3 linked regions of the Anolis sagrei genome follow. The main gene of each other region encodes a partner of the protein of the gene in region 2 in a complex. Links are inferred from orthologs where the notes say so. Each region holds a gene or a part of one and is shown on either strand. Other genes may lie near its edges.

The links. Proteins that work in one complex are often made in the same cells at the same time.
Region 1: ARPC2 (region 2) and ARPC5 share a complex: the UniProt entries of both Homo sapiens proteins name them as parts of the arp2/3 complex. The link is inferred for Anolis sagrei from reciprocal best matches to the Homo sapiens genes ARPC2 and ARPC5.
Region 3: ARPC2 (region 2) and ARPC3 share a complex: the UniProt entries of both Homo sapiens proteins name them as parts of the arp2/3 complex. The link is inferred for Anolis sagrei from reciprocal best matches to the Homo sapiens genes ARPC2 and ARPC3.

The regions. Positions count from the first base shown.
Region 1 is NC_090024.1:122,449,984-122,457,541, reverse strand, and holds the start of ARPC5 (actin-related protein 2/3 complex subunit 5), read right to left. Parts: upstream 3,130-7,558; 5' UTR 3,050-3,129; coding exon 2,907-3,049; intron 1-2,906. UniProt on the Homo sapiens protein: Component of the Arp2/3 complex, a multiprotein complex that mediates actin polymerization upon stimulation by nucleation-promoting factor (NPF).
Region 2 is NC_090021.1:228,566,440-228,574,885, forward strand, and holds the start of ARPC2 (actin-related protein 2/3 complex subunit 2), read left to right. Parts: upstream 1-5,400; 5' UTR 5,401-5,589; coding exon 5,590-5,663; intron 5,664-5,949; exon of another isoform or gene 5,950-6,125; intron 6,126-8,446. UniProt on the Homo sapiens protein: Actin-binding component of the Arp2/3 complex, a multiprotein complex that mediates actin polymerization upon stimulation by nucleation-promoting factor (NPF).
Region 3 is NC_090034.1:42,367,851-42,375,192, reverse strand, and holds the start of ARPC3 (actin-related protein 2/3 complex subunit 3), read right to left. Parts: upstream 3,130-7,342; 5' UTR 2,980-3,129; coding exon 2,974-2,979; intron 1-2,973. Other genes in the region: GPN3 (GPN-loop GTPase 3), read right to left, coding at 6,915-6,977. UniProt on the Homo sapiens protein: Component of the Arp2/3 complex, a multiprotein complex that mediates actin polymerization upon stimulation by nucleation-promoting factor (NPF).

The DNA.
Region 1 (7,558 bases), on a different chromosome or scaffold from region 2:
AAAAGCATTTGCAAGGCTTGCTAAACAGGCTGATTTTTCTTTTTGTGGAGTACACCTGAAACATTTTTTGCTGAGTCCACTGCAACGCTGCAATTTATTACTAACAAAGGCCTTTTCCAAACAGCTGTACAATATCCACACTGATATATTATATGGCAGTGTGGACTCAGCTAATCCAGTTGAAAGCAGATACTGTGGATTATCTGCCTTGATATTCTGTTTAAACTGGTTTATCTGAGTCCACACTCAGATAATGTGGGATTTTCTACCTTGATATTCTGGGATACAGGCCTGTGTGGAAGGGCCCTCAGATAACCCAGTTCAAAGCATTCTGGGTTATATGGCTGTGCAGAAAGGCCGAACATTGCTTCAGTGCTTCAGCATTCAGAAACTCTTTACCGTTGTCAATTTTTTTGTGATCCGAACGTTGAGCTAAGGGGACGCTATTTGGGATCGGGACCCACAGTTTCAGAAGCATGAAGGTGTTTAAGATCAATTAAGGGTGCGCTGTGATTTTTAACTTTGAATGTGTTTTGACGGTTTTTAACTAGGATTTTTAAAAATTCTGGTTATATTTAATCCTGTTTTAATGTTTGCATATTTGTATATTTTTAAATTGTTATGCTGATGCTTTTGTGTTAAGCTGCTCTGAGTCCCCTTCATAAAGCAGGGTATAATAATAATAATAATAATAATAATAATAATCAGTGTTCACATAGCCCCACCACCAAGGCCTGAACAAGTATCATTTCCTTCACCATGTATTTCTAAATCAACCATTAATTAAATGTCATCTCCAAAATTCCTGACCAACCAAATTCTGTTGTTTTCCATTTTCGCTCTCTAAGACATATTTAATAAAGACCAACCAGTATGCCTCAAAATCTGATCTGTTAATTTCCCCCCTGAATACCCTCATTTCCATTGTTAGTTTATCATTTAAAGCTACATTCCAAACTTCCCTATACCTTGCTTCCAGTGTTAGATTAGTTATTATTTTCCAATTCTTTGCTATTATAATTCTTCCCACTCTGAGCAAAATAGTCACCAATTCTTTCTTACTTGTTTCTACATTCAGCTACGTGGTGTCCATTACTAATGCTAACCTAGCATCCGGCATAATATTTGATCCTATAATGTTGTTTATTTCGGTAAATATATCCTTCCAAAAATTCTTCACTTGGGGGCATTCCCACCATAAATGAAAAATTATTATTATTATTATTATTAAACTTTATTTGTACCCCGCTAGCATCTCCCGAAGGACTCGATGCGGCTTACAAAGGCCAAAGCCTCAACACAACAACAGCAAACAATAACAATACAATACAAAGCAAAAATTAAAACATAAGCAATGACAAAAACATTACACTATTACACATTAAAATCAGGCCGGGCCAATGATGGGTACAGGTTAAAAAGTGCTGGATGTGACGGTGGTATGTTGGAATTCTGAGTAAGTGCAATGTGCAGAGAATCTTAACTCTAATAAAGTGTTTCTGGGACATGGTGCTGGGGGTTATCCTATTCTGGGAAGGCACATCAGAATAGCCAGGTCTTCAAGTTCTTCCTAAAGACTGCCAACATGGGTGCTAGTCTAATGTCTTTGGGGAGGGTGTTCCAGAGTCGGGGGGTAACCACAGAGAAGGCCCTGTCCCTTGTCCCCACCAAACGCGCCTGTGACGCAGGTGGGATCGCGAGCAGGGCCTCTCCGGATGAATGAAGGGAGCGCATGGGTTCATAAATGGAGATGCGGTCACGCAGGTAGGCAGGTCCCAAACCGTTCAGGGCTTTGTAGGTAAGCACCTGCACCTTGAATTGGGTTCGGTAGGTAAACGGCAGCCAATGGAGCTCCTTAAACAGGAGGGTTGACCTCTCCCTGTAAGGAGCGCCAGTTAACATCCTGACCACCGCCTGTTGGACCAGTTGGAATTTCCGAGCCGTTTTCAAGTGCAGCCCCATGAGCGCATTACAGTAATCCAATCTAGAGGTGACCAAGGCATGGACCACCCCGGCCAAATCAAGCTTTGCGAGGTACGGTCGCAGCTGGTGCACAAGTCTTAGTTGTGCAAAAGCCCTCCTGGACTCCGCTGACGCCTGAGCCTCAAACGTAAGTGATGAATCCAAGAGGACTCCCAAGCTGCGGACCTTTGACTTCAGGGGGAGTGTAACCCCGTCCAGCACAGGTTGCCATCCTATACCCCAATCTGGTTTACGATTGACCAGGAAGACCTCTGTCTTGTCGGGATTGATCTTCAGCTTGTTCCTCCTCATCCAGACAGCCACAGCGATCAGGCACTCGTCCAGCACTTGAGGGGCCTCCTTGGAATTAGGTGGAAATGAGTAGTAGAGTTGTGTGTCATCTGCATAGAGATGGCACCTAACTCCAAAACTCCGGATGAGCATGTGGTGGATGCTCCTTCTTTGTAAGCTTTTAAACAGAGGCTGGATGGCCACCTGTCAGGGGTGCTTTGAATGCAATATTCCTGCTTCTTGGCAGGGGGTTGGACTGGATGGCCCATGAGGTCTCTTCCAACTCTTTGATTCTATGATCTGTCAGGGGTGCTTTGAATGCAATATTCCTGCTTCTTGGCAGGGAGTTGGACTGGATGATTCTATGATCTGCTTTGAACTGGGATATATGGCAGTGTGGACTCAGATGGCCCAGTTCAAACCAGGGGTTTTCTGCCTTGATTTTCTGGGTTAGATGGCTGTGTGGAAGAGCCCTGGGCCTGCCCCTTTTCTCTGTGGATGCCTCAAGTGTCCTGCCAAATGCTCCCTCCCAACTTGCATGGTACTGAGGTGTGTGGGGGAGGCGAGGAGATTGCACTGCTCTTGGTGGGCCGGAAGCCTTGTTCCCTCCCCCCTCCCCCTCTCCCTCAAGGGCCAAACCAGCAGAAGGATATTGCCTGAGGCAGGAGTCCACCTCGCCCTCGTCGGGGCCCACCTGCCCGTCGCCGCCGTCCTCCTCGTCCACGAACTTGTTCTCGTCGTACTCGTCCACGTCCACTCGGCGGAAGCGCGCGGAGGAGACGGTGTGCTTCGCCATGGCTGCGCCCCACCTCACTCACTCCCTCACTCCCTCAGGCAAGGAAGGAAAGCAGGAAGAAGAAGAAGGCGGCGCTCCTCCCTCCCTCCCTCCCAAGCGGAGGCGGTGGCCTCGCGTCAAGAAAGAGGCGCCGCGCATGCGCTGGAGAAGCGCTCGCGCTTGGGGGGGGGGGAGCGAGCGAGCGCGCGGACTCTCCCGCCGCGCGGCACTTGCCTTTGCGAAATACATAGGAGACTGAGACTCGGCCCAGATGCATATCTCCACCTTGCTTTTTTAACAAGTCTTGTTACCAACGATATAACCGCTTGCTTTGTTATTACTCTACTGCGCAGGCGCCAAACTATCATTTCCTCCCCCCCCCAGAGGTCTCGCTCATGCGCAGAATTGCGGACCGACGTGGTGAAAGAGCAAGGTGTGAGCAGCACGTGACCTCTGACGCGCCCAGCGTCTTCGGTGAGGGCGGAAGTGCTCGGCCACGCCCCTCTTTGGGTTTAGCCGTAACAGGGGAAAAGTATCTCCCTGTGTCGCCGTAAAGCGGAACAGACAATAAAGGAACATAGAAATGCTGGACCACACCAACAACCACCATGTCAGACTACATAGAGAAGCCATTGAAATCCACAAGCATGTGGACAATTTCAACAGAAAGGAAGAGACCATGAAAATGAACAAAATCTGGCTACCAATATTAAAAAACTCAAAAATTACAAGAGCAAAACAACAGAGAGGAAACAACCAGGCACATCTTAACACCTCTCAACAGGGGATTTTCCCAGGCTCAGCCAGGCCTTCAAATGCTAATGAAGGTGATCAGTTGAAACATTCACACCTAGCTGCAGCAGGGAAGAGCTCTTTGCCCCACCCCAGCCATTCCACAGATATATAAACCCATTGTCCTAATTCCAACAGACCTCACTACCTCTGAGGATGCTTGCCATAGATGCAGGCGAAACGTCAGGAGAAATGCCTCTAGAACATGGCCATATAGCCCGAAAAAACCCACAAGAACCTAATAGAGGAAGACATTTTGACCCCTCTCACAACAACATCCTCTTCGGGTTGTTGTAGGTTTTTTCGGGCTATGTGGCCATGGTCTAAATGCATTCTCTCCTGACGTTTCGCCTGCATCTATGGCAAGCATCCTCAGAGGTAGTGAGGTCTGTTGGAAGTAGGAAAATGGGTTTATATATCTGTGGAATGACCAGGGCGAGACAAAGGACTCTTGTCTGCTGGAGCTAGGTGTGAATGTTTCAAATCAAATCATTTATTTCGGTCATTGACCAGCACAGAAAATAGTCACATTTTCATAAAAGCTTGGTATGTTTGGTACATTAAAAATATAAATATAACGATTCAAGCACAATATGGGTGAGGGAGCAGAAGGGAAGGGGAAAGCAGAAGGGAAGGGGAAATTGTGAATATTTCAACTGACCACCTTGATTAGCATTTGATGGCCTGGCAGTGCCTGGGGCAATCTTTTGTTGAGAGGTGATTAGATGTCCTTGTTTGTTTCTTCTCTGTTGCTGTGCTGTTGTGATTTTAGAGTTTTTAATACTGGTAGCCAGATTTTGTTCATTTTGTTCAAAACCCACACACACAGATAGATATCTACATAAAAACTCCAACCATCACCCAAGTCAAAAAAGAAGCACCATTAAAGCCTTGGCAGACCGTGCAAAAAGAATCTGCGAACCCCACCTCCTCCAAGATGAACTGAACCACCTCAACTGGGCTCTACAGGCCAATGGATACTCCACCTCAGACACCAGAAGAGCTGCAAGACCAAGACCAAGCCATGAGAATAAAGACGAAGATCTACCCAGAGGAAAAGTGTTCTTGCCATACATCAAGGGAACCACTGACCGCATAGGGAAGCTGATGAGGAAACACAACATACAAACTATCTTCAGACCCACCAAGAAAATCCAACAAATGCTACGTTCAGCAAAGGACAAGAGGGATCCTCTCACTTCTGCAGGAGTCTACTGTGTACCATGCAGCTGTGGACAAGTCTACATAGGGACCACCAAACGCAGCATTGCCCAAACACAAATCAAGGAACATGAAAGGCACTGCAGACCACGTTAACCGGAGAAGTCAGCCATAGCAGAGCACCTGAGGAACCAGCCTGGGCACAGCAGCCCTGCATCTGGTACTTTCCAAGTGCACTTCTCTAGGACCCGGTCTATAGAGTAAGTTGCGTTGGGCTGGTTGTTGCGACCTCCGATGATGGGAGGAGAAGCGCTCCCTAAGGTATGATGGACCCTGGCCGTAAAGGTCAGAACTAACATCTTATACAGGCCACGGTACTCATTTGGAAGCTGAGGCGAGGGAGAGAGACTATTTCCTCTTTTAAAAACTTCTTTGCTGCCTTATACTGATTCAGTTTCTTCTTTTATATTGGTAGGGGCTTTCTGTGTGCTGTCAAACCTTTGTATTGTATATCGCAGGCAATGAAACACTCTTGTGTAAAACCAAGTAACACAGTTTATTTATAACTTCTGGCTCCAACGCTTGTGGTTACATTTGTGTTTTGTTGCAATCTTGAGGCTTACAGTCAATATCATTTACTTGGTTAACTTTTCTGAATAAACTCTCAATGTTTCATATTCACAAACATGTTACTTGCTTTACACACTCTTGGCTGAATTATATTCTGAACTAAGGCAACACTAGCCTTCTCTATATTCCTTTAAACTCGAGCTCTATTTACTAACTGCTTCTCTGTATCAGAAGTCTTTAACACATCTTCATAACTGTTTATTTCTATCAGGCACTCAAAAACCAACTCTTCACACACAGATTCCAAACTGTCATTTTCAAACTCCCTCACTCTAACTGCCTCTTTTAGAACCTTGGATCCGCCCCTTTGGAATGTTCAGCTCTGCTCTCCCCAACTGTCATTTTGGCCTAGCAGCCTTTTCAAATCCTGGGCCTACACTAATCTGCATATGACCAATTGGCTTCACATATGCAAATGAATCCTATCTCTGCTGTTGCTACCCTGTCTGTGCCTATTCTTCCCTTTCTGCCATATGTAAACATAGAGCTATGCACCAAAACTTTAACACAGAGTAGCAATTTCACTACAGAAGCCAATGTAAATGTTGCAGCACTGGTGTTATATGGCATTTCATGAGTTTTCTTGTGAGTAACCTGGCTGCCGTATTCTGAACAATACGGAGCTTTCGGGTCGTAGACATCGGAAGGCCAACATACAGGGCGTTGCAATAGTCCAAATCAGATATGTGCAGTGTTTGAGGACTCCTGGTTTATATAGACAAAGTCATAGGAAACTCCAAATTCTGGGCCACAATTAGAGCATCCTGCAACTTTGGTGGTCTTGCCACATGTTGCCTTGGATTACCTCTTTGTGGTATTTGGTCAACACAGCCGATCTGAGTCCCTTTGTGGTAAGTCTGCTCAGTTTGCTGCGGCTTTATTGTATTTATGTCCCACAAGGTTGTCAGATAATCACAGGGCAGTTGAAAGAAAAAAATGATATAGAGTAATAATATAAACCAATTATACAGGAAAAAAATGAAAAAGTTTTAACATTCGAATTGAAAAATGGAGGACTGACCCTTACTTGGCTGCTGGCGGTCAGCCGTTCTTGGCAAGTGGAACTGTCCAGTGGCTAAAGCAGAGATGACAAAGAGGGCTGGTTTTTGGTTCTTCCTTTTGCTGCTGGCAGCTGAAGCTTTCTATCCTGGCACAATATCCAGTTCAAGTGAAAATAATGTGTGCGTTTTGCTGATTCCATGCTAATGAGCTCCAGTTTTCCCAGCTCATTGTATATCTCCTATGTAACTATTTGTACCAAGGGAATTGCCCAGCCCTGTAATAGCTTTCTAGCTGAACTGAATTTAATCCTTTTTCTTCCTGTGGCCTTCATGCTCCGCCGGCTTGCTTGCCTCAGTGTTGTTTAGTAATTTTCTCCATGTGAACAGCTCTTCCCTTGGGAATTACTTGCAAATGTTTCACTTTGCTTAATGAGTCATTTGGCATTTTTAAGTGCCTCACAATATTTCTAGGTTTGGGGTGTAGGGGTTGCTGTTTCCAGGGGGAAGAAACATTCATGGGAGGGGTCAAATTGAGAGGTTGCCTTCTTAGCGGAGGCAATCTGCTATTCATCAGTTGCACTGGATGCTGTGAGTATAAAGCAGACATATAGTTCTTTTGCAGATTTGGCATAGCACTTGCATTTCCATAAATTGGCTGAGGCAAGGCCTTCATGAAAGGAGACCGCATTCCTGTTATGTTGTTAAGGTGTTGTGCATTCTGTCTATCAGTCAATGCTCTTATGGGCAAAATTGGACGGTAATAACCTGCCTGTGGGACATTAGTCACAAAATTATGGAGGACAGAGTGCCAAAGTCCACCGCAGAGGGGGTTCAGTGTCACCTGAGGCCAGAGGCTGGCAAGGCTCTGCAAAGCTTCACAGTTCCATGGAGATACTGGGAGGTCCTCCTCTGTGTGATACAGCTGTGAAAAATAAATGCAAAGTGT
Region 2 (8,446 bases):
TTTTTATAGCAATATGTTAAAATAATTCTGTTGAACTTAAAATAAAGACAAAATATTAGCATTCTGTGACTATTCTTCACAGCTGTTTATTTCTATGATGGCTTGACAGAATTGCTAGTAGCACAAGAAAAAAAATGGAAATGTATTCCCTGTGTTTAAAAAACCCAGCCAAATAAATGCATTCATTCAGTTGTAAAATGGCCAAATAATTATGTTCTTAACTGCATACTAGTTGTAAGCAATCTTTCCAGTTAAACATTCAAAATTGTTTAAGTAAATCACAATGCCTAAGTATTCGAATCATAATAAAGTGCCTACAGACTATATTGTGTGGAGGAGAAGCTGCAAGAAATGTGTATGTAGAAACAAAATTAGCACATTCATGTTCATTCTTTCTATCAGGATTTTGTAATGTGCTTTCGCGTGAAACTATCTCAGGGTTTCCTTGACAAGATTTGTTGAGTAGGTTTGTGATTGCCTTCATCTGAGGCTGAATTAGACTTGCGCATGATTACTCAATGGGTTTCCATGGGTGCATCTACACTCTAGAAATAATGCAGTTTAAGTGCCACAACTCAATGCTATGGAATTATACGAATTGTAATTTGACAAGGTCTTTAACCTTCTGGATCAAAAAGTGCAGGTGTCTCACCAAACTACAACTCCCATGATTCTACAGGATTGAGCCATGGCAGTTAAAGTGGTCTCAAACTGTGTTAATTCTACAGATTAAATGCACTCTTTGTCTGAGTGGGGATTTGAACCCTGGGTCTCCCAAAGTCCTAGACCAGGGGTGTCAAACTCATTCTTATCAGCCTTATGGTTCAAAGGGTCATTGAATCTATGAATGGAGAATTCGTGGATTTTTTACACAGTGGTCAATGCTCTTTAGTTTTTATCTAGTTAGGTGAGGAAATGTAAAATGATCCCACTTAGAAATAAACTTGTCCAGATGGTTCTTTAGTTTGCATGAACAGTAAAAATTACAGATGTATCAGGGCATTTAGGAAATAGATATCACTTTGTATTTTCTGACAGCAGTTTGGCCTCTAAGTGTACTTTTCATTTATTTGCATCAATTTTGTGACAAAAAGACTTAGTATTTATTTTTCTAGTATTGATTCTAACCCTAGGTGGGAAAACATACCAACTGTTTAACTTTGGTTACTTAGAACATGAGATATTACTTTGCCTCCAGTGTATCTTCAATATAAATACTTAACATATGAGATTTTTGTTGTTGTTGCCCTCCCTTTTCTATCTCCCTTAGAAGTCTCCAGATGCAGAATTTTGCTTTTCCACCTTATAAGTGACAAAATGGGAACCTCATCCTCTCATAAAGGATTGTTCCACCATACTATAGACACAATTTCTTATCAGAAGAGCATGTATCATGGGTTAAAGAGGATCAAGGTGAAAGAGTGACATGTAAAGGATGAACCAAAAGTTACAAAGGGGGTTCAATATTTAATGACTTCTTTATTTTTGTTTTTAATTTACAACACCATATTGTATATGATGTATAGCATCATATACAGTATATATAAGAAATACATTTACATGAGGTGTGAAAAATCAAGTCTCATAAATGGTGTCCAATATCATAGCAATATATACAGTGTATCTATGACCCTTTCGTGGCTTGTAGCCCACCCTGTTCTATTAAACACCAACAAAACACAGCCAGATTGCCATAGGACCTTCTTAACCTTTTCATATTTTTGTACTATTCTTTGCCACTTGCGGAGGTTTATTAAGGAAATGAATGTTGCCTCTTATAAAAGAAGCAATATCCATGCTTTGTCCATTTATTTATATAGCCCAACAGCAACACACATGGTACTCCAATACCTGGCCTTTGCCCAGAGGAGCTGACACTCTGAACTTTGATGCAGGAAAGATAGTAAAAAGAAGGGAATAGCTGCATGTGCTAAAGCTTAGTCACAGTTATTAGGCTACATAGAAAAACCTGGGTTTTTACGATACAATGTAAACAGCCAAAGTCACACTCAGGCCCCCATCTATACTGACAATTTCATGCAGTTTCAAACAACTATTGAAGAAAGTGGTTTTGGTGTGCAGATGATCACATAGGAAATCCTGGAAAACCTTTGAGGCCAGGATGGTGATTACACAAACCAGAGAGCTCCGAGTAAGGGCTTTCTTTCGCACACCTTTTGTGGGTGTTTGTTGTCTGGCTGCCAGTTTGAAGCGAACTGTGATCTGCATTAAATGGTCATTGTAGATGGGGCCACAGTTTCACTGAAAATACAATCAATGTGGTACATTTTGTTAGGACCGCAAAACTGAGGGTCAAAAAAGCATATTTTTAATGTGTGGTTTTATAGGAATTTGACGCTCTTAATTTTAAAAATGACCTCAGATCTGCTCCATCCCTTACTTTCCCCCCAAAATGCTTTGATGTACTTTGTTGAAAAATGTAAATGAAATTAGTATTCAAATCATCACAGACTGAGCATCCCTTATCTGGAATCTTATCTGGGGTACTTTGTGCTTTTCCTGCATGGCAGAGGGTTGGACTAGATGTTCCACGTGGTCTCTTCAAACTCTACTATTCTATGAATGTGTTAATTCTGAAATTCTTCAAAATCAAAAGTTATCCACATGCGTTGTCGAGATAGTAACCCCTTTGCTTTCTGATGGTTCAATGGACACCTATATTTGTTCCTGCACAAAAGTATTTTAAAAATTGTGTATATAATTACCTTTCGGTTATATGTGTATTGTGTATATATGAAACATAAAATGAAGTTCATGTTTCTACTTGGGTCCCATCTCCAAGACTTCTCATTACATATACAAATACAGGTATTTCAAAAACTGAAAAAACACTTCTGGTCATTTTGCATAAGAGCCAATCAACCTGTATCAGAGTTAGACAGGTCTGAGGGATTTCAGATATGGGGAATAACATGGGATTCCCACCTCAGTTGTAATGGTGCTATTTCCCAGCATCCTCAAACAACCAAACATGAAACAAAACTTCTCAGATTTCAAGTACAGTACTTCAAAACATTTAGCTGTTCATGCCATACTTAAGCCCCATCTACACTGACCCATTAATACAATTTAAAGCTAGCTTCAAACTGCAGAAGTCTGACAACAAACTCCCACAAAAGGCTTGCAAAAGAAAGCCCCTTTAATGCACATCAGTGTTCTGTAGTTTGACTAATCTCCTGTCATCATCTGAGCAGCAAAACCACTTTATTACCAGTTTGCAACTGCATTAAATGGTCAGTGTAGATCAGGCCTTAGGGATGCATTTGGAAGTTCACACTTCAGCTTCTAAATTTGCGGTTAACCATGAAATTAGATTTTTTTAAAAAAGAAATAAATGTTTGTTGTGTTTTTCAAATACAGTACTACAATCCTGATGAAAAAAAATGTGCTTTTGCCCATGACAGGCCTTACTTTATAAACTAACCCCAAGTGCATGGTATTAAAATGCAAAGCAACATTATGTAGCAACAGGAATGAGCCGAGGCCACATCAACACAGGACTTTGATCAGGCATGGGTAAACTTTGGCCCTCCAAGTGTTTTGGACTTAAACTACCACGATTCCTAACAGCCTACCAGCTGTTAGAAATTGTGAGAGTTGAAGTTCAAAACACCTGGAGGACTGGAGTTTGCCCATGCCTGGCTTAGAGAACAAGGAATCAAATGTTATGCTGTAAAATGAATGCAGTTTTGCACCAGTTTAACTAGTGGGAGTATGTATTTATTTATTTATCGTGTCAGAAGTGGATTAAGGGTACAGTTATAATGTACTCAAAAAGACACAGTTAAAAACTTGGCATTATGCCAGATTTCCTTTGACCAGAAGCTGGCCACTTGGATTGCCTCTGATGTGGCTACAAGAAGGTCCTCCATTATGCATATGGGAGGCTCAGGTAGCATTGTAGTAGATCATCTGTGGTTTGCTCTTCTCCACACTCACATGTCGTGGACTCCACCTTGTGTTGGCTCTGCACCTTGTGGTGCCAGTCTGTTCAGTGCCTTCCAAGTCACCCAGTCTTCAGTATGCCCAAGAGGGAGTTTCTTATCTGGAATCAGCCACTGATTGAGATGCTGGGTTTTATGCTGCCACTTTTGGACTCTCGCTTGCTGAGGTGTTCCTGCGAGTATCTCTGTAGTTCTTAGGAAGCTGTTTCTTGGTTTGAGGCATTGGCATGCTGGCTGATATCCCAACAGAGGTGGGATGAAGATGTCACTGCCTTGGTCCTCTCATTATTGGCTGCTTCTTCCCAGAGGATGTCAGGTGATGCAATACCGGCCAAGCAGTGCAATTTCTCCAGCGATGTTGGGTGTAGACATCCTGTGATGATGCGGCATGTCTCATTAAGAACCAGGTCTACTGTTTTAACGTGGTGAGATCTGCTCCATACTAGGGGTTGTTTTTTTTTTTTAATTGCGTCAGGAGCAACTTAAGAAACTGCAAGTCGCTTCTGGTACGAGAGAATTGGCTGTCTGCAAGGACGTTGCCCAGGGGACGCCCGGATGATTTGATGTTTTTATCATCCTTGTGGGAGGCTTCTCTCATGTCCCCGCATGAGGAGCTGGAGCTGATAGAGGGAGCTCATCCGCCTCTCCCCGGATTCGAACCTGGGTCTTCAGTCCTGCCAGCACAGGGGTTTAACCCACAGCGCCACCGGGGGCTCTACTGCCAGGGAAACTGTGGAATCCTAGTTTGGTGAGGAACTAGCACTCTTAAGTAGAGAAGGCCTAGCACCTTGTACAACTACAAATCCTATCATTCCATGGCATTGAGCCATGGCAACTACAGTATTGCCAAACTGGATTAATTCTAGTGTAGATGCGCCCAAAAATAAATAAATAAATAAGCTCGAGGGCAACAGAGAATCGGAAGAGCTTCCGCCCCGCCCCCCTCGAGCGCATGAGCACGTGCCTGGCAAGCCAGTGTCCGCGAACGAGGCACATCTGGCGGCGCGTGCGAAGCCACAGGGAGGCCGCAACCAATGGGAGTCCGAGCTCCAAACCAGCTTCGAACGTTAGCCTTGGCCAACGCGCGCGCGGAAGAACTGGCTAAAGCACGCCTGGGCAAATCTGAGCCTTCCCTTTAGGTGTTTTGGGCTTCAACGGCCACCATTCGTAACAGCCTCAGGCCCTTTCCTTTTCCCCCTCAGCCGCTTAAGTGGAAAAGGGAAAGGCCTGAGGCTCTTAGGAATGGTGGCCGTTGAAGCCCAAAACACCTGCAGGGAGGGCCCAAGTTGACCAGGCCTAGGCTAAAAGGAAGAAGCCTTCCCCGCCTGCTTGGCATGCCTGCCAGCCGCGCATGCGCGCTGCTTTCCTCTTCCTCCCTCCCCCTTCCCTTCACGCCACTGCCTTTCCCACGTCCAGGATGTGACGCAGGGTGCCGGCTCGGCGCGGAGGTGGGTGGGGCCCCCGTGGCGGAAGCGGCTGGACTCGGGCGGGTCCCCGGTGCGGCGCGCTTCTCGGCTAGGTGGTGTCTTCTCCCCCCCTCCCCTGCCCCCCGCTCCTCCTCCTCTTCCTCCTTCTTCCCCGCCCGGCTTCCGTACCCCTTCCTCACCTCGGAGCAGCCGTCGCCATGATCCTGCTGGAGGTCAATAACCGCATCGTCGAGGAGACGCTGGCGCTCAAGTTCGAGGGCGCGGCCGCTGGGTGAGGAAGGAAGGAAGGCAGGGGCGGCGGGCGGGTGGGAGGAGTGGTGGCGGCGATGGGAGGAAGGGCGGGGTGGGGCAGGCGTTAGGACAGGGCAGCGAGGCCTACTCGCCTCACTACCTTCTTCTTCTTCTCCCCCCCCCCCCCCCCGCTTGCCCTGCGTTGCCCTCCCCACTGTTTATTCATGTATTTGCATGGCTGACGACTCCAACGTAGGGTTCACCCTTCAGCCTTCTTCCTTTTGGGCAAGTGGGTGTGGGCGGCGGGCCTCCACTTCCTCTCTCACCTTCTGGCGCTTGGGCGCTTCCGGAGCCTCCCTGCGAGGCCCCTAAGTGACTCAGGAGGTTCAGGCTGCTGCTGCCTATCCTCCCACCTCCAAGCTGTCAGGACGGATCTGTGCTTCGGGAGCTTTTGACATCACGTAGTCCTCCTTCAGATCGGGGAGGGGTGCCCTTTTTCCCACTTAGGAATGCAGTTTCACACCGCTTGGAAGTGCCAGGGCCCAGTGCTGTGGTATCACAGGAGGTGTGGCTTTACAGTAGTGGTTCTTAACCTGTGAGTCCCCAGATGTTTTGGCCTTCAACTCCAAGAAATCCTAACAGCTGGTAAACTGGTTGGGAATTGTGGGAGTTGTAGGCCAAAACACCTGGGGACTCACAGGTTGATAACCTCTGTTCTACATACTGAACACTCACATACGCAATGTATTGCCAAAGGCTTTGTTTCTTCCATATGCCTCTTTTATGGGGATATGAAGAGATCTGGTCATTTCTGTGCAATGTATTCCTGGTTAGTCAGTGGAACAGATCACATGAAGGCCCCTTTTCATTTTCTTCAGGGTCCCTTCAACATTAGGTCTGTGCTCTCCACCATCATCTTCCCCTTTCTACTCCTCTAAAGCAGTGCTACTCAACAAGTTGTTCCATGGTCCAATCCTGATCTATGAACCATCTGCACCTGGTCCCTTCTGTTCCCACAGGTTGAGAACCACTGCTATACAGGGTCTTTAGCCTTCCCTGCCAAAGAATGCTGGTGTCACACTAAACTATAAATCCTAGGATTCCATGGCATAAAATCATGGCAATTCAAGTGTTTTTTTGTTTTGTTTTATTCTATTTTTTGTTGGGTAAGAAGCGACTTGAGAAATTGCAAGTCACTTCTGGAGTGAGACATGGCCCAGAGCATGCCCAGATGTTTTACCACCCTGTGGGAGGCTTGTCTCAGGTCCCCGCATGGGAAACTCCCGTCTCACAGACCCGAACCGCTGACCTTCAGATCAGCAGTTCAGCCAGCACAAGGGTTTAGCCCATTGCGCCACCACGGCTTATGCTGTATTAATTCTACAAGTAGATGCAGTCTTGAAGGGTTTAATTGCTGGTTGCCTTCGGGTAACTACAATTTGGAATATTTGGGAGAAGAATTAGGATTTCTTTTCCACATTTTTGATTGCTTGCATATATATTTATGAGATATACTGTAAAAGGACCCATTTCCAATCATGAAATTCATTTCCAATACACATAGCCTGAAAATACAATACTGTATTTTATGTAATTTTGCACATGAAACAATGTTTGTGTCCATCAGAAAACAAAGGTATCACAACCTCAGCCACCCATGTGGACACTTTTGGATTTTGGAGGGTTTCAGGTTTTGGTATTTAAGATACGGGATGCACAGCCTGTGTAGGCTTTTTGGATAGAAGATACCAAGCCAATTGCACCGTGTGTTGCCACTTCCCTAAAGTGCTGCTGTTATTCTTCCTCTTGCCACTCACCAGGAAGTGTCGCTTTCACAGATAGCTGAATTGCAGGCCCTGGCTTTTTGATCAGGGTGTGTTCAGTACATATTTCAAGTACAGGTAAAATTATTTGAAAGTGTTTGAGAAGATAAGCATTCTTACTGCTGTCTGAGAAAGAGAACAGTAAACTCATGCACTTGGAGAAAGGACAGGTAGAGAAAGGGGTGGAGCTCCCATTGGGAAAAATTGAACAAGTGCTTATTAGAGTCTGCAGAAAGAACTGCACAATTATGCTGACAATATTTTTCCCATTGTATATGTTTAACTTGCTGTAAAGGTACGAATTATGGAGCCTTCTGGCTGTTGGGCTAAAAGTCCTAGCAGTAATAATCAACATAATCACTCAGAGAGGAATGCTGGTACTTGCAAACCAATATCATGATAGGGCTGATGTTGAACACTGGATGGTGCTTTCCTCAGACAAAAGGGACCTGTTTCTTATCTTTGACAAGTGACTTATATGGGTTGTATTTTTTTCTAGACTTCTACTTTTCTGTTTCATACTTTTCTGTTTCTACATATCTCCTAGCCGTTTCAAGTAAAAGGAGTCTGTTTTATGTATTTTGTATGTATTCATCCTGCTTGAGATCCATCTATTTCAACATTTTTGAACATTCCCCACAAATAGAGGCCTTCAGCAGGTCATTTCGAAACTGGAACCCATTCTATTTTCTGTGCATTCCTCAAATGTTGTTGTATGTCTTCAAGACATTTCAGACTTATGGTGACCCTAAAGCATAGTCAGTTTGCACAACACACTGTATCCTATCATATGATTTTCTTGGGGGGGGGGGATAGTGGAAAGGGGGTTACGTATGAATTTTTAGTCTCTTTTTTGTTAAATTATTAAAATATATATTTGGTAAAAGTCACATATGAGGAAAAGTGGTTATGTTATACTCATTTGCCCCAAATTGAATAAATAAATAATATGGTTTTCTTGAAAAGATTTTCCTTTGCTTTCCTATGAGACTGAGAGGGT
Region 3 (7,342 bases), on a different chromosome or scaffold from region 2:
ATGAGACATACTGCATTATCACAGGATGTCTGCACCCTACACCACTGGAGAAATTACATTGTTTAGCCAGTACCGCACCACCTGACATCCGCCAGGAAGTAGCAGCCAATAATGAAAGGACAAAGGCAATGACATCTCTGGCCCATCCCCTGTTTGGATATCAGCCAACATGCAAACACCTTAAATCAAGAAATAGTTTTCGAAGATCTACAGAGATACTCGCAGGAACACCTCAGCAAGCAAGAGTCCAAAAGTGGCAGGCTAAAATCCATGGCTGATACCAAAGGAGAGACTCCCTTCTGGGCACACAGAAGACTGGGCGACTTGGAAGGCGCTGAACAGACTGTGCTCCTGAACCACGAGAGGCAGAGCCAACCTTAAGAAATGGGGCCACAAAATGGAGTCCACGACATGTGAGTGTGGAGAAGAGAAAACCACAGACCACCTATTACAATGCAGTCTGAGCCCTGCCACATGCACAATGGAGGACCTTCTCATAGCAACACCAAGGGCACTCCAAGTGGCCAGGTACTGGTCAAAGGACATTCATATACTGCCAAGATTCTAAATTGTGTGTGTGTGTGTGTTTATAAATACATTACAATGGTACCCTTGGTTTGCTCCTGATATGATAAATAAAATTATAATATTTACATGTCGTAGATTTTAAATTGCATAGTTTTGTCAAGTTGTGACCCGCCTGGCGTCTCAGTCAAGAGATAAAAGCAGGAAATAATAATAACAATAATAATAATAATAATAATAATACCACCAGGAAACAACAAGGGATATGTTCATTTCTTACGACTGATTTGTATGATTAATTCTATTCTAATATGTATGCATTGTAGATTTTAAATTGCATTGATTTTTCATGCTGTGAGCTGCCTGGCATCTCGGTCAAGAGATAAAAGCAGGAAATAATAGCAATAATAATAATATTTATAATTGTTATTATTTGAAGAAGCACCACAGAGCTATTACTTAGCTCTATTGGACTGCCATGGCTCAATGAGATTGGATCCTGGGAGTTATAGTTTGAAAACTGGGGTAGCTTTCCCTGCCAAAGAGGGCTGCTGTCTCATCAAATTAGAAACCCCAGAATTCCATAGCTTTGAGCCATGGCAGTTCAAGTAGCACCAAACTAGATTATTTCCACAGTGTAGATGCACCCAAAGCCAGTGCCTGAAATGCAAGATGTTGGTAGACTGTGACTCCCATCTTCTCAAGTCAAGAGACAATATTTTACCAGGTCAAGAAAGACAATCTTCTCAAGCCAGGCATATATCCAGCCACTTCAACTCCTCTGTGCCTCTATTTCGGCTATTACCAGCCGATCAAGTGGATTCAGGCCATTCATCTTAAGGAGCAAATGCAAGAGCAAAGCAAAGTCATCTCTATTATTTTTTCTTTTTTTTTTTTTGAAAAAAAATACTCCAATTAATTCTGCCATTTGTGGCAAGACTTCAAAACAATTTAGAGTAATGATGACTCTAATAAATAAGAAGAAAAGACTCTAGGTACATAAGTACAATAAAGCGATACTCGAAAAAGGATGTACAAAGGAAATGGGGAAAGGAGAGCCAGATAAGCCTCGGACTGGAGTCAGAAACACAGAAAGACAAGACAAGCTGATGCCACAACCAAGAAGGCGCTGCATTACCATCACAATGGAAGGCACTTCAAAACCAATTTTCCAAGAAGACTCAATATAAGAGAATTACAAGGGGTGCTGGGGTATCGAGTCAGATTTTTTGTTCAAAGCCAATTTTGCCATAGCCTTTTAGTAATAACACCTAACACAGAAAAATCTCGAGTTCGACACTTCTTGGAGTGCCATGGCTGAGTGTGACGGGATCCTGGGAGTTGTAGTTTTCCAAGGCCTGCCAAAGAGGGTGGCTGACTCTCCAAACTACGCCTCCCAGGCTCAAGTGGTCTCAAACCACATCCATCCCACAGTGGAGATCCATCAAGTGCTGCGGGATTCGGGTTCGAATCCTCCCATTGTTTGGTTTCCCCCCCAAAATCAGCCTTGCCTGACAGCCAGTGTCGCCTGACTTCCCTCTTGAAACCATATAAGGAAGTTTCCCCCGCGGCTGACATTTGAAGTCCCAGCCTTTTGGGACAGACCCGAAACAACAGCCTTTGGGGACAGGTGGCCTTGGGGACAGCAGCTCCCATCATCCCCAGCTGTTTTCAAGATCCGAAATCCCCAAGCTGGTCACTGGGTACATTACTAAAAGAAACCTTTTTACCCATCTCTCAATATAATATAATATAAATTATATTATAACAATATATTATAATAATATAATATAACAATAATATAATATAATAGGGGAGGGGAAAGGCTTTATGGATGGATTTGGAGGCATAAAATGTTGGGATCTGTATTTGTCAGTGTTCAAATAAGCGGATGCAAACCAGTTTGGGGAAAATTGTAGAGACACCAAAAAAAAAAAGGAAAGCAACAAATCCACTATCTATTTCTCTCTATATACACATACATACATACACACAAATACAAATAGAGAGGTCTGTAGTTTCGACCTATAATGTATGTTGTCTAGCTTGACATGCAATGGTTGTGAAGCATGTCTGAGTGTATGTATAAACAGGGACTGCTATTGTATATTTATTTGTGCCCTTTTTGTGTTCAGAAAAGTAATTTAAAATATTGGGGGGGGGGGGCAGAAAGTCCCAAGCTGGGGGGAAATAGACCTGGGAAAGAGAAGTCTGTTGGGTGCTACAGAAGTCCTACCAACCCAAAAAATCATCCTCACCCTCACCCCAACCTTGCTTCCAGCAGGGCAGCCATTGGGCAGGCTCCCATCTCGCTCCCGTCTGGGCCCCTTTGGGTCTGAAGCTAGTGGCTCTCTTGGGCCAGTTGGGAGTCCCAGCATCCACCTCCACCTCCACCCCCAAGCGATGGGACTTGAGATCCCCAAGGATCCATCCCCCCCTGCCCCTTACCGGCATTTTGGGAAGCACTTGATGGGAGCCGGAGAGGACAGGCTCTTCCTTCTCAGCCCGCCAGGCAGCCAAACGCGCCCTCCTCCCTTCCTGCCTGCCAGCCTTCCTTCCTCTTCCACCCAAAGCAGGAAGGGCGGGGCCCGGCAGGAGCGGAGGCAGTGGCTTCGTTGGTCAGGAGGGGGCGCCCGAGAGCAAGGCCCACGAAGAGGCCCGCTGGCTTTCAGCGCCGCGTGGAGTTCCCTGGCTCCCTGGGACTTGTAGTTCCCCAAGGTCTCGAGTCTCCTCTGCCCAAAGGGAGCTTCTCCAATAGCAAATGTACAGTTTGACCACTTCAATAGCCCTGGCTCAGTTCCCTGGGAGTTGTAGTCCCCCAAGGTCTCGAGCCTCCTCTGCCCAAAGGGAGCTTCTCCAATAGCAAATGTACAGTTTGACCACTTCAGCCCTGGTTCATTGCTCTGAGTTGTAGTTTCCCAAGGTCTTGAGCCTCCTCTGCCCAAAAGGAGCTTCTACAAGAGCAAATTTACAGTTTGACCACTTCAACTGCCCTGGCTCTGTGCTTTGGAAGCTGTAGTTCCCCAAGGTCTTGAGACTCCTCTGCCCAAACCACTTCAGCCCAGGCTCTGTGCTCTGGGAGTTGTAGTTCCCCAAGGTCTCAAGCCTCCTCTGCCCACATCACTTCAATGGCCCAGCCTCTGTGCTCTGAGAGTTGTAGTTCCCCAAGGCCTCGAGCCTCCTCTGCCCAAAGGGAGCTTCTGCAATAGCAAATGTACAGTTTGACCACTTCAACAGCACTGGCTCAGTGCTCTGGGAGTTGTAGTTCCCCAAGGTCTCGAGCCTCCTCTACCCAAAGGGAGCTTCTGCAATAGCAAATTTACAGTTTGACCCTTGCCTTCCCACTGAATTGGTACCTATTGATCTACTCACTCTTGCATGTTTTCAAACTGCTAGGTTGGCAGAATCTAGACCTAACAGTGGAAGCTCACCCCGCTCCCTGGATTCAAACCGCCAACCATTTGTTCAGCAAGTTCAGCAGCTCAGTGGATTAACCCTCTGCGTAATCAGGAGCCCCACAGCACTCCATGCTGTCATGCTGGCTGCATAACCCTTGAGGTGTGTACGGACAACACCAGCTCTTTGGCTTAAAAATGGAGATGAGACCACTCCCAGATTTGGACACGACTAGACTTAATGTCAGGATAAACCTTTACCTTTAACAGTTTGACTATTTCAACAGCCTCTAGGAGTTGTAGTTTCCTAAGGTCCCGAGCCTCCTCTGCCCAAAGGGACCTTCTACAGTGGTGAATTAACACAGTTTAACAACTTCAACTGTCTTGGCTCAGTGCTCTGCAAACCTGGGAGTTATAGTTTCCAAAGTATTGTCGAGGACACCCCCCCCCTCCCCCTTGAGCAAAATATTGATATAGTTGGCACCGCAGCGAGGAGTTCCACAGGTGACGGGAGCTCTTTTAGTTTCAAAAATCAATTTTTGCGAATGATCAGCGGTCTGGAGGAGGTTAGCAGCAGCTACCAGTGCCCAGGAGACTTATCTGCAGCCTTCTCCCCCACCCCCCACCCCCCATATGATTAGTTATCTTGTCGTTTACCCTTCAGTAAAAGGGTTATCCTTAGCTTTTGCTTCCTTGTCTTTTCTTTCGCTCTACTGAGTCTTTTCTTTCCACTCCCGCATTTCACAGCCGGCCCAGCAGCCGCTTGGGCCACATGGCCCACTTGGCCCCCATGGCCTCCCCAGCCCTGGAATCAATGCTCTCCTCGTCTCGAAGCTCCCTTTGGGCAGAGGAGGCTTGAGACCTTGGGAAACTACAACTACCAGGTTTGCAGAGCACTGAGGCAAGACATTTTAGCCGGTCAAACTGTGTTAATTCAGTATTGTAAGAGCTTCCTTTGGCAGAGGAGGCTCAAGACCTTGGGAAACGACAACACCCAGAGCACTGAGCCAGGGCTGTTGAAGTGGTCAAATTGTGTTAATTCGCTATTGTAGAAGCTCCCTCTGGGCAGAGGAGGCTTGTGAACTTTTGAAATAGAGCAATTTAAATGGCCGCAGATAATGTGATCCAGGCCATGGATAGGGAAACCTGAAGCACTGATACCAAAGTGGCCACAGAATTAATCAATCAGTCTAGTATAGAGTTTGTGTATTGTTTCTTGTTTCAATACAAATCTTCTATCTATACATATGATAAAATTGATGTGTATGTGGCAGGGGTGTCCCCTTACACACACAGCCTCCCAATTTAACCCACAGTGCTGAGGAGCCACTCAAAGCACTCCTTCCAAGGACATTTCAGGTTATGGTGGGTGCCATGAACATGTCTCCCAACCCCTGCCAATGTTCTCCACAAACACCATACTGCCTACCACCCAAGTTAAGGCTTCAATTTGGGGACAATTTCATCCTAGATGTTGTTTTTTTCCTCCAGAATGGACATCCCAGGGTTCCTTACTTTTTCCATTGCTGTGGAATTTGCATGACCATGCCCACTTTCTCTCCCTTATCCCTTTCCTATGGCACACAGCAAACAGCAACTGAACAAGAGGTTTTGGGGGAAATTGACCTTGATTTATAGCAGCCGTAGTTCACCTGCATCCAGAGCATTGTGAACCCAACCAACAATGGATCTGGACCCACTTGGCATGGATGATGGGATTTGTAGTTCCTTTACTAAGTTCCTGAGATCACTGCGGCCCGACTAATGATGGATCTGGACCAAACTTGCCACACAGACCCCTCCATGACCCACTTTACATCCTGGTGCGGTTTGCAGAAGGATGGACCACGGATGATTGGATTTACAGTACCTTCATCCACTTCCACAGACCACTGCAACCCTCACGAATGACGGGCCTGGACCAAACTTGGGACACAAAACCCCCATGACCAACAGAACATACTGTAAGAGTTTGGGGGAGGACTAACCTACCCGTGTGGGAGTTGTATTTCACCCTGCACCCAGAGAGCATTCTGAAGCCCCCAATGGCAGATCTGGAACACATGTGCTGCACAAAACCCTGAGGACCAACGAAACATAATGGAGGGGCTGGGGGTGTGTGCATATAGAGCACTCTGAACCCCATCCATAATGGATCTGGACCACAAACTTGGCACATAGACCCAATATGTCCAACTGTGAATACAGGCAGAGTTTGGGAGTGATTGCCCTGGGAATCTGGGAGTTGTAATTCACCTGCATCCAGAGAAACAGTGACCCCACCAACAATGGACCGGGACCAAACTTACCACAGAGAAACCCCATGACCAAGTGAACATACTACAGGAGTTTGTGGGAATTAACCTTGATTTTGAGATTTGTAGTTCACCTGCATCCAGAGAGCACTGAACCCAGCCAACATTGGATCTGGACCATACAGGCCTGTTTTGGGGAGGACTGACCAACAGTTTTGGGTATTGTAGTTTACCCACATCCTTATGCATTTTCTAATGGGGGCATTAATAAAAAAACAAATAAAAACTGGCTTTTTTCTAATAAATAGTGTTACTAATTAACTAAATGATACTACCTAACACCCCAAAAACAAACAATGCCTTGTTGCTTGTTGGCAACACATTCACCCTCCTTACCTTAGACTGAATCAGAGCAAAGGACAGCAATGCTGAACAAGTTAACACACTCAAGTGACAATGGCAACGCAGCCTTTTCTGTATTTGCTTCCGCCACCTGAGCTAACAAAAGCACACCAAGAAACAGATAGGAAGACCAGATACTCTCATGTTTATTATTGCCAAGGAAGCAATCAAACAATGAAATAACACAATAATTTATCTCTCAGTATGTACAGTAAACTCTCCAAGGGGGGAAAAAGTCTATGGGGCAGATCCCTCTGGGGATCTCTTTGCCTTGGCTGCATTTGATGTTTGATGCATTTGATCTTGATACCTTTCCTCAAAATGGATCCCAATCTTGTCACTCATCCACTCGCTCTTGGAAGAACTCATCAAAAGTGGAAGGTTTATTCTCCTCATTTTCCTGTGGAGGGAAAAGGATAGGAAGGATTACAGCAAACTGCATTCTTCAAGAAGGCAAAATTATTCAAAGTGTAGGGTGCATCTCTCCACTGTAGAATTAAAGCAGTTTCGGCACGACTTTCAGTGTTATGGCTCAAGGCTGTGGAATCCTGGGAGTCGTAGTATGATGAGGTCCCAGCACTCTCGTAGAAAATGCAAAGCTGCAATTCCCATGATTCCACAGTATTGAGCCATGACAGTTAAAGCAGCATAAAACTGTATTATTATTATTATTATTATTATTATTATTATTATTATTAGAAACACAACAAGATGAGTCCACAGCAGACATTCTGCTGGCTGTTGTATTGGATCACACGTTGGACA